Macaca fascicularis: one gene and its partner. The protein of the gene in region 1 interacts with the protein of each later gene in a biochemical or structural test. Links are inferred from orthologs where the notes say so. Each region holds a gene or a part of one and is shown on either strand. Other genes may lie near its edges.

The links. The genes of interacting proteins can lie anywhere in the genome.
Region 2: the proteins of SNW1 (region 1) and VDR form a complex in vitro, tested with the Homo sapiens proteins (2 studies listed by BioGRID, with this or other methods). The link is inferred for Macaca fascicularis from reciprocal best matches to the Homo sapiens genes SNW1 and VDR.

What each region holds. Positions count from the first base shown.
Region 1 is NC_088381.1:145,672,491-145,678,145, forward strand, and holds the end of SNW1 (SNW domain-containing protein 1), read right to left. Parts: intron 4,654-5,655; coding exon 4,536-4,653; intron 2,190-4,535; coding exon 1,722-2,189; 3' UTR 1,261-1,721; downstream 1-1,260. Other genes in the region: SLIRP (SRA stem-loop-interacting RNA-binding protein, mitochondrial), read left to right, coding at 1,158-1,223. UniProt on the Homo sapiens protein: Involved in pre-mRNA splicing as component of the spliceosome. As a component of the minor spliceosome, involved in the splicing of U12-type introns in pre-mRNAs.
Region 2 is NC_088385.1:54,686,263-54,692,726, forward strand, and holds the start of VDR (vitamin D3 receptor), read right to left. Parts: upstream 4,367-6,464; 5' UTR 4,271-4,366; intron 1-4,270.

The DNA.
Region 1 (5,655 bases):
ATGGGGACTTTGAGAGATTTGTAACTGAAGCTACCTTAATGCTTGTTAGAATGATGGGGTGGTAGGCCAGGTGTGGTAGTTCACGCCTGTAATCCCAGCACTTTGGGAGGCTGAGGTGGGGGGATCACTAGAGGTCAAGAGTTTGACACCAGCCTGACCAACATGGAGAAACCCCATCTCTACTAAAAATACAAAAAAAATTAGCCGGGCATGGTGGCACATGCTTATAGTCCCAGCTCCTCAGGACGCTGAGGCAGAAGAACCGGGGAGACAGGTTGGACACTGAGGCAGAAGAACCTGACAGATCGCGCCATTGCACTCCAGCTTGGGCAATGAGCGAAATCCATCTGAAAAAAAAAGAAAAGAAAAAGAATGGGGGGTGGTAGAGTAACCAGTTTATATAACACAGTGGACATAGCAGTCTACTTTTTTCTTTTTGTTTGTTTGAGACAGTCTCGCTCTTGTTGCCCAGGCTAGCGTACAGTGGTGTGATCTTGGCTCACTGCAACCTCTGCCTCCTGGGTTCAAGTGATTCTCCTGCCTCAGCCTCCTGAGTAGCTGGGATTATAGGCATGTGCCACCACGCACAGCTAATTTTTTTTGTATTTTTAGTAGAGATTGAGTTTCACCATGTTGGTCAGGCTGGTCTCGAACTTGTGACCTCAGGCGATCCACCCGCCTCGGCCTCCCAAAGCACTGGGATTACAGGCATGAGCCACCGCACCCAGCCAGCAGTCTACCTTTCAAGTCAGGCAAGCTGGGGCTGAAATCTTGGCTTTCCCACCATGTGATCTTGGGCCAAATTGATCTACTATTTTATTTTTAAATTTATTTTTAATGAGACAGGCCCTTGCTATGTTGCAGGGTGGTCTTGAACTCCTGGCCTCAAGCAATCCTCTTGCCTCAGCCTGCCAAAATGCTGGGATTACAGGCCTGAGCCACTGCTCCTGGCCTGATTTACAATTTTTAATTGAGGGTTAGGGAGTCATAATATCAAGAAAGATGGTAAAAGGAATTTGAGGAGAAAACAAAAGAACAAGGTACAAATAAAAACTGCCTGAGTTATTCATACTGATTCCCTAATAAAAAAGCGATTTTCAGTTTGAATGTTTTTGCAAACATTGCCTTTCCTTCCTTACAGTGCTTATTTTTTTCAGGTCCAGGTTCAAGCTCAAAAGCCAAAAGTTCTGCCGACATCTGATGATGAAGAGAAAGATTTTTGAGACCGCAGCCTATTAATAAAGTTAACATAACTGAGAATTTTGTCTAAATGTTTTTATTTGAAACAAATAGTTGCACCAAGCAAGAGGTTACTTTGCCCACTCCAAATTAAAACAGAGCACAACAGGGGCAAAATTTATTTGGCAGGATAGTTCCAGTATGTGAACATCCTCCTCACTGTGGTTGGGGTAACTTTACTCATATGCAGCTGTTCTTACACAAAATATTAACCCCAAACTACTAGTGTCACACAAAAGGAAGTGGTCTTGACTTTGTATGTGGGGCAGCATGTTCTATAAATGCTGAAAGGTGGGAAAAGCACAAACACAACCCACTCTTTAAAAAAACTAAGTAATTCAAAGTAGAATTTTCTATCTCCCCCCCATTCTCCAGTAATAAAAAGTAGTGCTGGGATCCGACACCCAGATTTGTTTTTTATCCTGACCATTTACAAAGTGTTCCCCCGTATGACTTGCATCATTAGGGTAATGGGTAATAGTTCATTCACTATGAAGAGACCTGTGTCTACTCCTTCCTCCTCTTCTTGCCTTCATGCTCATGTTCCTTGGGGCGGCTGCTATCTGAGGGTCTTTTAGAGCCACCATGCTGTTTGGCTTCTTCCAAAAACTTGTCCAAACCAAAAGGATCTTCCTCAAACTGAACTGGTCCTTCTCGGCCTCTCTGTCTACGGTCTGAACCAGAAAACTCCTTGTCGGGAACAAATCTAGGGAAAAAGAGAAAAGACTATGAACTACTTTGCTTTCACCAGTGTAAACACTGAAATTGAGTTGTATGGATTGGTACCTGTTGGTTTTTATTCTGGCTTCTAGATCATCACCATACATGTCCTTGTCCAGATTTTTACTGGGCCTATAAATACTCTGGGCCATATCTTTACCACCTCTCCAGGCTTGATCATAAACATTATAAATTTCATCTTCTCCACCTGCAAATCCACTGTCCATACCCTGTGGAAAAATGGATGACATTAAATAAAAGTGTAAACACTTTATCAAAAGCTGAATCATAACATGTTTACAGTAAACCCTTGCTAATTTGTAGCTCACATTTTCAACAATCTGAACTGCAAATTAAAGGTCTTCATTAAAAAACTGCTAGCACATAAACTTCATAACTTTGGATTCTTTTTTTTTTTTTCTTCAGACGGAGTCTTGCTTTGTCACCCAGGTTGGACTGCGGTAGCGTGATCTTGGCTCACTGCAGCCACTGCCTCCCAGTTCCAACGATTCTCCTGCCTCAGCCTTCCAGGTGGCTGGGATTCCAGGCACGTGCCACCACACCCGGCTAATTTTTGTATTTTTAGTAGAGACAGGGTTTTACCATGTTGGCCAGGATGGTCCTGAACTCCTGACCTCAGGTGGTTGCCTGCCTTGGTCTCACAAAACGCTATATAAGCTCACTGCAGCTGCAACCTCCCTGTGCTCAAGTGTTCCTCCCACCTCAGCCTCCCAAGTAGCTAGGAGTACAGGTGTGTGCCAACATGTCCAGCTAATTTTTTGTACACAGGGTTTTGCCATATTGCCCAGGCTGGTCTTAAACTGGGTTCAAGCAATCTGCCTGCCTAGGTCTCACAAAGTGCTAGGATTACAGGTGTGAGCCACAGTGCCCAGCCAGAAATATTTTCATCACAATTTTTAAATGTTTTAAGCTTAAGCTTCTAACAGGTGATTATCTTGAAAATATTTTACTTACGTGAAATTTCACCCCTAGATCCCTTTGCTCAGCTGGTAAGCTGCCTTTGTATAGTGGTTAAGAAAGCTTTGAAATGCGCTGGGCGCAGTGGCCCACGCCTGTAATCCCAGCACGTCGGGAGGCCAAGGCGGGAGGATCACAAGATCAGGAGTTTGAGACCAGCCTGACCCAACATGATGAAACCCTGTCTCTACTAAAGATAGCCGGGCGTGGTGGCATGTGCCTGTGATAATCCCAGCAACTCAGGAGGCTGAGGCAGGAGAATCCCTTGAACCTGGGAGGTGGAGGTTGCAGTGAACCAAGATGGCGCCACAGTACTCCAGCCTGGGTGACAGTGAGACTCCATCTCAAAAAAAAATAGTAATAATAAAGCTTTGAGATCAAGACTTGAATCTTAATTCCATCAGTCACAAGGTAAACCTGTGTTTCAATTTCCTCATCTATAACATGAGAGAATAGTATTATTTCAAAGGATTTTTGTAAGAATTGAGATAATAACAAGATTTAGAACAATGCCAAGAATATAAAATGCACCTAATAAATTATCACTTAGAAGAGCTTACTTAAAACCTCCAAGTCATAAAGTTTCCCACTCCACTTTCCAGTAGAACTTACACCTTTGTATTCTTACCGTGTGTGTGTGTGTGTGTGTGTGTGTGTGTGTGCACGCACCCGCCTTGTGTTTTCCCAGGCTTAAAGTGTCCTAGTTAGCTAATGGCAATTGGTACTAGAAATCAGATTTCCTGACAGCCAGCCTAGTACTTTAATCCAGTTTTACAGCTTCATTTTTAAAAGATTCCCAAATTGACATATTTCTATAGCATTAAAAAAAAAAAAAAAACCCAAAAATGAACAACAAAAAACCCAAGAGGAACTTTTGTAGGACACTGGCTCTATTTTATTTTTTTGAGATAGAGTCTCAGTCACCCAGGCTAGAGTACAGTGGCACAATCTTGGCTCACCACAAGCTGAAGCAATTCTCGTGCCTCAGCCTCCCAAGTAGTGAGGATTACAGGCATGCACCACCACACCTGGCTAATTTTCGTATTTTTAGTAGAGCTGGGGTTTCACCACATTGGCCAGGCTGGTCTCAAACTCCTGACCTCAGGTGATCTGCCTGCTTCGGCCTCCAAATGTGTTGGGATTATAGGCAAAAGCCACCGTGCCTGTCCTCCCTGGTTCTATTTTAAAAACAAAAGATTGACATACCACAGCACCAAGTTGTTTTTTTTTTTTTTTTTTTTTTTTGAGACAGAGAGTCTCGCTCTGTCGCCCAGGCTGGAGTGCAGTGGCTCAATCTCGGCTCACTGCAAGCTCCGCCCCCCGGGTTCACGCCATTCTCCTGCCTCAGCCTCCCGAGTACAGCACCAAGTTTTTAATCAGCTAATTTCTTTCTTCTCCTAGTGTCTCAAATTTCAGTCCACTGTAAGAAGTTAAAATCAGAACTGTTTCATCTTTCTTGTCTCAAGTTTCAACATACAACTTCCAATTTTTTTGTCATCATGCTGGCATTTACATCCAAATATGAAGTATGGTAATTTTCGTTTCCCTGAGGATAGGTATTCACATCAACACAACAATATGCTTTCCTAAACTTGTACCTTGGATTGGTTGAAGAGCCTTTGGTCATACTGAACTTCATTGGAAGTCCGAGGATTAGGAACACCGAGAGCAATGACTTCACTGATATCCCGATTTTCATTTCTCTGAAGTTTCGACCTATTTTGAAATACGACATCACTAACTGAAAACTCTTTATAGACAAACTGAGTATGTTCAATAGAAATACAACCAATCTCAGAAGCAAAGGACATGAATATGTCACATTCACATCTTGAGAACGTATATTCCTTGATAATACATAATCAAGTTGGCAGCCCTTATAAAGCATTTCAGATTAGAGGGAAGAGTTTTACAATTAGGACATCCTGTTAGCTCAAAAGAACATCTAACAGATTCGTTGACATGGAATTCTTTAATATAAGCAATCACCTTACAACCATACTGAGATATAAAATTGCTATGGTCTATATTTACTATCATATGATGGTTTGGGGGTTGGGGAAGTGGATACAATTTAGATGTAGCACAGGAATCATTTTAAATAAGCTAGAAACAGCTCTTTTATCTAACTACATTTAATAATTTTATCCCACTAGAATTTTGAGGAAAACATGTCAATGACTGAAATAGTTAGTATGATTTTTGACATTCAAATTAATTTGGTTTCCTGGCTGTTTCATTATACATGCAATCTATATCCCAATGAAACCATGGTAACTGTCATTACTTATTTTACTAAAAACTCAGGTCACAAAATGATTTCTACAGGCTATTTGATTTTCATCCAGTTACAATTTTACAGCTTTTCTATGTTGTCAATTCTGATGGCCACTTTACTGGTTTTGAGGGCCCAATTTATCCACAGAGCCATTGTAACTTTTACAACTTAGGAATTACTAACCAAGACTGTCATTAATTAAACACTTTCACACTTTGCTCCTCCTTCTACATGTACGTTACCCTCAACTCAAGAGTAAGAGTCTCTGCTTCTCTATGACGTCATTTATCCAGGGAGATGAAATATGCCAATTAACACCAGCAGGAATCTTTTTAATGCCTATTTATTTTTATTTTTGAGATACAGTCTCGCTCTCACCCAGGCTGGAGTATAGTGGCACGATCTTGGCTCACTGAATCCTCTGCCTCCAGGGTTCAAAT
Region 2 (6,464 bases), on another chromosome or scaffold:
GGAAGCATCTGACAGGTTCTGTCTGTCACCTTCAAAGGGCAAGGACCTGAGTCCCCACCCCCACCCCAGGACCCACCTCCCCCCAGCCCCACCCAGCTCTCAGCGTCTCTCAGCGCTTCCTCTTCCCCTCATTTCTCTCTTGGACCAAGGATCACCCTGGGAGTGTCCCATACGGGTGTGCTGTGATGATGTGCCCTGCTCTTGCCCGATTAGCTTCCACAACTGCTCCACCTGAACCCAGGGCTCTGCACACTCCCTGGGCCCCATTACTCCATCAGGCCTGGACCCCCTCCCACCACACCCTCCTCACTCACCTAGTCTCCAGATAAAATATAGGATGCCCAATTAAATTTGAATGTCAGATGTACCTATACTAAAAGAAATTATTGTTTATCTGAAATTAAAATGTAACCGGTATCCTGTAGTTTTATTTGCGAAGTCTGGAAAGGCTACTTAGGCAGTGCCTTTCTACCAACCACAGTCTTCCCTTCCTCCATACCTGTCTTCCAGTCCCACCAGATCCTAAATGACCTTAGCAGCTGGGACCATTCACTAATTTATTCATTCACTCATCCAACACATTTTTATTGCACACCTACCAAGCGCCAAGCCATCTGCTAAGCATTGGGGTTACAATGACGGAAACATCAGACGTAGCCCCTGCCCTGTGGAGTTTACATTCTGGAGTGAACAGCAAAGGTGAAAGTGAAGAAACAAATAAATACAATTACTACTAAGTACAATCCATGCTATTATGAAAAGAAACTAAATAGAGGACTGAAATAGAAATTAGAAGAGGAGGGCTGGTTTGGACAGGGCAGTGAGGAAAACTTCTCTGCAGAGATGACACACAGGTGGATGTGAAGAATGAAAATGGGGCCAGTTCAGTGTGTGTGTGTGTGTGTGTGTGCGTGCGCGCGCGCGTGCGTGCGCACACTGGGGGAGGATGGGATTCTAGGCCCTACGGTAGGGAAAGAAGTTCGACTAGTGGGAAATGAAAGACTCAAGCACCTGGCCAATGATAAAGGGTGTAAGATAAGACTGGGAAAATGGGAAAAGTGCAGAATTACTCAGGGCCTCACAGGCTATGGTAACATTCCAAACACACACACATGCACGTGCACATGTGCACACACACAGCACATAGGCATGGGCACACTGAAAGCTTCAGGAGAAAAGAGATCATGAACTGAATGCTATTAAAATACAGTTCTGGTTGGTTGGTTGGTTGGTTGTTTGAGACAGGGTCTTACTCTGTCACCCAGACTGGAGTGCAGCGGTGCAATCTCAGCTCACTGCAGCTTGGACCTCTCAGGCTTAAGTGATCCACCCACCTCAGCCTCCTGAGTAGCTGAGACGACAGGCGCACGCTACCACACCTGGCTGATTTTTTTTTTTTTTTTTTTTTAATAAGTGAGGTCAAGCTATGTTGCCCAGGCTGGTCTGAAAGTCCTGGCCTCAAGTGATCTTCCCCAAAAGACAATTCTTCATACTTTCTGGAAATTGAAATGGAGGAGCTGAGGGTTGGCAGCAGGCAGGCCAGTCATGAGGCCACTGTGGAGTCCAGGTAAGAGAGGATGGTGGCTTAGAAAAACCAGGGCTATGGTGGCCATTGAGATGAATGGTGGAAAAGCAAGTGCATTTTGTGTGGGATCTGGTGGACTGGACGGTATATTGGATGTGAAAGGTAAGGCAGTACCAAGGACCACAGTCTTCAGCAACTAGAAAGATGAAGGTGAGGCAGGTTAGATTGGGGGTGACAGAGGGGAATCAAGGGTTGTCATCTGGATGCATTACGTTGAAATGTCTGCGAGGCCCCCAACAGAAGTGTCCAGGGGAACTGCTTCTGGGAGTCAGAACGCAGAGGAAGAATGGGGTTTGCCACCATACAGATGGTGTCTAAACCACAGAAATACGGCAGAGGGGATGGCAGTACCAAGTCCATGCAGCACTGGCTTTCCAGTCACTTCGAAGAGAAACCTGCCAAGAGGCCTGAGAAGGAATCACAGACAAGTCAAGAAGGAACCAGAAGGACAGCGCCACATGGGGGGAGCAGAAGGGAAAAGAGAAGGCCTCGGGAGGGGAGTCAGTTGAGTCCAGGCTGCTGGGAGAGGACGAGGGAGGCACAGAAGCGCTCCTCAGGCCGAGTTTCATGTGAAGAGCTGCAGTGGAGCAGTGGCTGGGGCTGAGGGAGGAAGTAGAGGCAGCAAGTGGCCCTGCTCTTGTGAGGAGGACGGCTGTGGAAGCGTCAGCGTGATGGACTGGCAAAGATGGATCCTGGAGAGGGATACTTTTAGAGATGAGAGGTAGAGCATGCTGATGGGAACGGTCCAGGAGAAAGCAGGGTGGGGTTGGAGGTCAGGAGAAGATATGAAGGACAGCTGAGGCACCCTCCCCCTCAGGTGCCCCCTCTCCCCCCCCACCGCCCGCCTTCCTCCCTCCACAAAGGCGAGGGAGCCATGGCCCTGGGACCTGGACCCAGGCTTGGATGGAAGGCAGAGGCCCAGCCCCCGCTAGGGTGGAGAAAGCCGTGGAGGGGAGGACCTGCCTTTGCTCTGGAAATAGAAAACCAACACTGGTAACTGAGTAACTCTCGGAGAGGGGTGCAAAGGCACTGGCAAAATCTGAAGGAACACAAATAAGCTGTACCGCTTGGGCAGCGAGGTGGATCGGATGTAGGGGGTGCAGCGGCCTGACCTGCAGGGGCCACAGGGCTCTTCCCAGTCCTGCCTGACCACAGCCAAAAGCGATGGTTCCTGGGAGGCAGAGCATCACCAAGAAAAGATCAGGCGCTCAGCCCCAGGCCGTCAAGTCCCATTTCCTCTACCCACCGCCACTGCCTGCTCCGACTGCAGCCTGGCGCACCACCCGGACGAACAGACGGACGAACAGACAGACGGACAGACAGACAGAGGCTGGCCTCGCAGCCTCCGCCAGCAGAGAAGGCCTGCGCGTGGGATCCAGCAAGGCCAGTGCCCTGCCTCCCTCCAACCACCGCCCACCCTTCTCTGACCGCGCCAGCGCCGGATCCCATCTCCCCTCCCACACCCCTCCCACCCGCAGGGGGCAGCCTTTACTGCCATCCTCTCTCAAACCTCCCTCACCTGCGGCCCCAAAGCGCGGGCTACACACCTGTGCACCCCACGCACCCGTGCACCCCCACACACCTGCGCGCCCCACACACCTGCGCACCCACACACCTGTGCATCCCTCACACCTGTGTACCCACACACACCTGTGCGCCTCACACACCTGCGCACCCCCTCACACCTGCACACTCCCTCACACCTGCACACCCCTCACACCTTTGCACCCCAAACACCTGTGCACCCCCACACCTGCGCACTCCCTCACACCTGCACACTTCACACACCTGCGCACCCCCTCACACCTGCGCACCCCCCACACCTGCGCACCCCTCACACCTGCGCACCCACACACACCTGCACACACTCTCACACCTGCGCACCCCCACACACCTGCACACCCTCACACCTGCGCACCCACACACACCTGCACACACCCTCACACCTGCGCACCCCCACACACCTGCACACACTCTCACACCTGCGCACCCCCACACACCTGCGCACCCCCTCACACCTGCGCACCCACACACACCTGCACACACCCTCACACCTGCTCACCCCCTCACACCTGTGCACCCACACACCTGCGCATCCCCTCACACCTGCGCATCCCCTCACACCTGCGCACCCCTCACACCTGCGCATCCCCTCACACCTGCACACCCCCTCACACCTGCGCACCCACACACACCTGCGCACCCCCTCACACCTGCTCACCCCCTCACACCTGTGCACCCCACACACCTGCGCACCCCCTCACACCTGCGCACCCCACACACCTGTGCACCCCCTCACACCTGTGCACCTCCACACACCTGCACACCCCTCACACCTGCACACCCACACACACCTGCACACCCCTCACATCTGCACACCCCCACACACCTGCGCACCCCCTCACACCTGTGCACCCACACACACACCTGCGCACCCCTCACACCTGCGCACCCCCACACACCTGTGCACCCACACACACACCTGCAAACCCCCCACACCTGCACTCATGACTGGATAGCAGGCTCCTCGGAGGAGCTTTCTACCAGCATCTAGGAGTCCCTGAGTGACAGGTTGGGCTGCAGGTGAACACACTGCCCTCTTTCTGCCTCAGTCCCGCTGTCCTCCCTTGCTTTGGGCAGGGCCCCTGCGTCCCTCTCTGGCCTCACCCCTGTCCCCAGGCTCACCGCCAAGGTCGCAGGAAGCAGAGGTGCGTCTCCCCCTGCAGCAGACCACCCTGGCCCTGCTGCTGTCCAGTCCCCAGGCCTGCCCTTCTCCACACTGCGCCAGGACAGCAGGGCCTTCAGGGAAAGGAGGGGCCAGGCTGCAGGGAGTGGGGCTGGGCCTGCCCTCCTGAGGAGGAAAGGAAGGTGAGAGTCAGTGACCTGAGAAGTTTCCATGAACTCTGCCCATGAGGGAACAGGGGAGGACCAGGAGGCTGGGCCCCACACAGCCGGAGGGAGCCACCTGGCAAAGTGGTTTCCCTACCATCAATTTCTAACTGAATCTTGAGGTAAACAGACACACCGGACCTGCCCTGAGGAAGGAGGCAGGTTGGGAACTGCTTGCCACCACGGGCATTAGAGGAGCCAGAGGTATCTGGAGCAGGGGGTGGGGGTCAGGGCTGTGGACAGCCTGGCCGTCCATCCTGGGCAAGGGGAGATGGCTTCCCCAGGAAGGACGGTGAAGGCTGTTCCCATCCCCTCTCCCACTGGCGCTGTTAAGGTACGGTCCGTTGATGGGTAAACTGAGTGCGTGTAAGTGAGAGAGAAGGGGTCATGGTTGGTCTGAGGAAGCAACCAGTTCAACACCTCCAGCTGCTGACTCAGCTGCCTCCCGTCCCCAGCCCTCAACATCTCCTTCCTAAGCCGGTGGGAACAAAGACGCCGCCAGTTTCCAGTTGTAAAAGTTGGAGGAACAATCAAGAACAAAGATCAAGGCTTCACATTTTCCATGACATTGGTGCAGGGGCGGGGACACCATGCCTATCTGGCACAGTCCCCATTCCCCATGCCCTCTGGAAAGCAGGAAACTGCCATGTGGGCATGGGCAGTGCCAGCCTCTCCATTAGCATGGCGCCTCCCCTGGGTCAGCCTGGGTGGCTGTCTTGGCCAGGCCAGGCTGTCTCCACAGAGTCTCCTGAATTCAGGGTCCCTCAAGCCCCAGTTCCTCCCATTTCTGGGAGATCAGCCAGCCTCAGAGGCCAAGAGCTGGGAAGCAGGGAGCCCACCCAGGAGACCCCCAAACCCGTAGCACTGTACAGAGGTCAATGGTCAGAGGGAGAAGGGCAGGGGGACAGCAGACAGAGGACTGGAGGTAGGGACTTGGGGGTGGGTGGGGTTGTAGATGTGGTAAGGGAGCAGAGTTCTGGAATCCATTTGTAAGATGTCAAAGGGCAGCTGAGACTGGGCTGCTTCCCAAGGTATGGCTGACATTGACTAGTCTCCTTGTCCTCCCACCCCTCTGGCACCCTATTCTCGCAGCTTCTGGGGGAGATAGGCACGTAGTGATGAGTCCACCCAGGTAAACAGATGATGATACATCTGTTTAATGGAGTACTCTTCAGCTGTTAAAAGTGACATAAACCCATTGATGCTGGCGGAGAAAATGACCAAGGTTTATTAAGTGGGAAAAAAAAGGTGAAAAATGATATGTAGATTATGATACCATTTTGTTAACAATAAACCTAATACTACTACATTTGAATATGTGTATCTAAATCATGTAAGTAACTATATATTTGAATGTACTTGAAAGAAGTATACAAAGATAAATATGAAATAGTTAAAAGAAATTATATCTGAGATAATTTAGACTTAGAGAGACATCTGTATACGAATTTTTATAATAAGCATGTATGATTTTATAAGAAAGAAAGAAGGTGAGGGCAGAGAAAATGGTTTGGAACAATCCAAGTCAGTGGATAGATGTGGACATGCCAGGTACACATGCACACACACACACACACACATGCACATACATACACATGTGCACACACACATGCACACACATTCACACACATGCATATATGCACACACATGTACACACATGCATACACGTGCACACACATGCACACACCCCCACATCCACACACATGCACACCCACACACGCGCACACACACACACCAAGCACACCTGGCCCACCAAGGAGGGCACACCTAGTGAATCTGGCAAAACTTGGGCAGCACTTGGCTCAGGCACATACCCACAATCCTGGGTTCCCTTGGCATGTGTCAGGAAGGGCCCAAGGCTCTCTCAAGTCACTGATCCTATCTCAGGTCCGCTCAGCTCCTCTAGCTTCCCCAGCCTCCAACTCATCTCCCTGGGAGCCTTGCCGTTTCTTGCCAGGTACTCAGGAACCAGGATCCTATTGATAAAGGC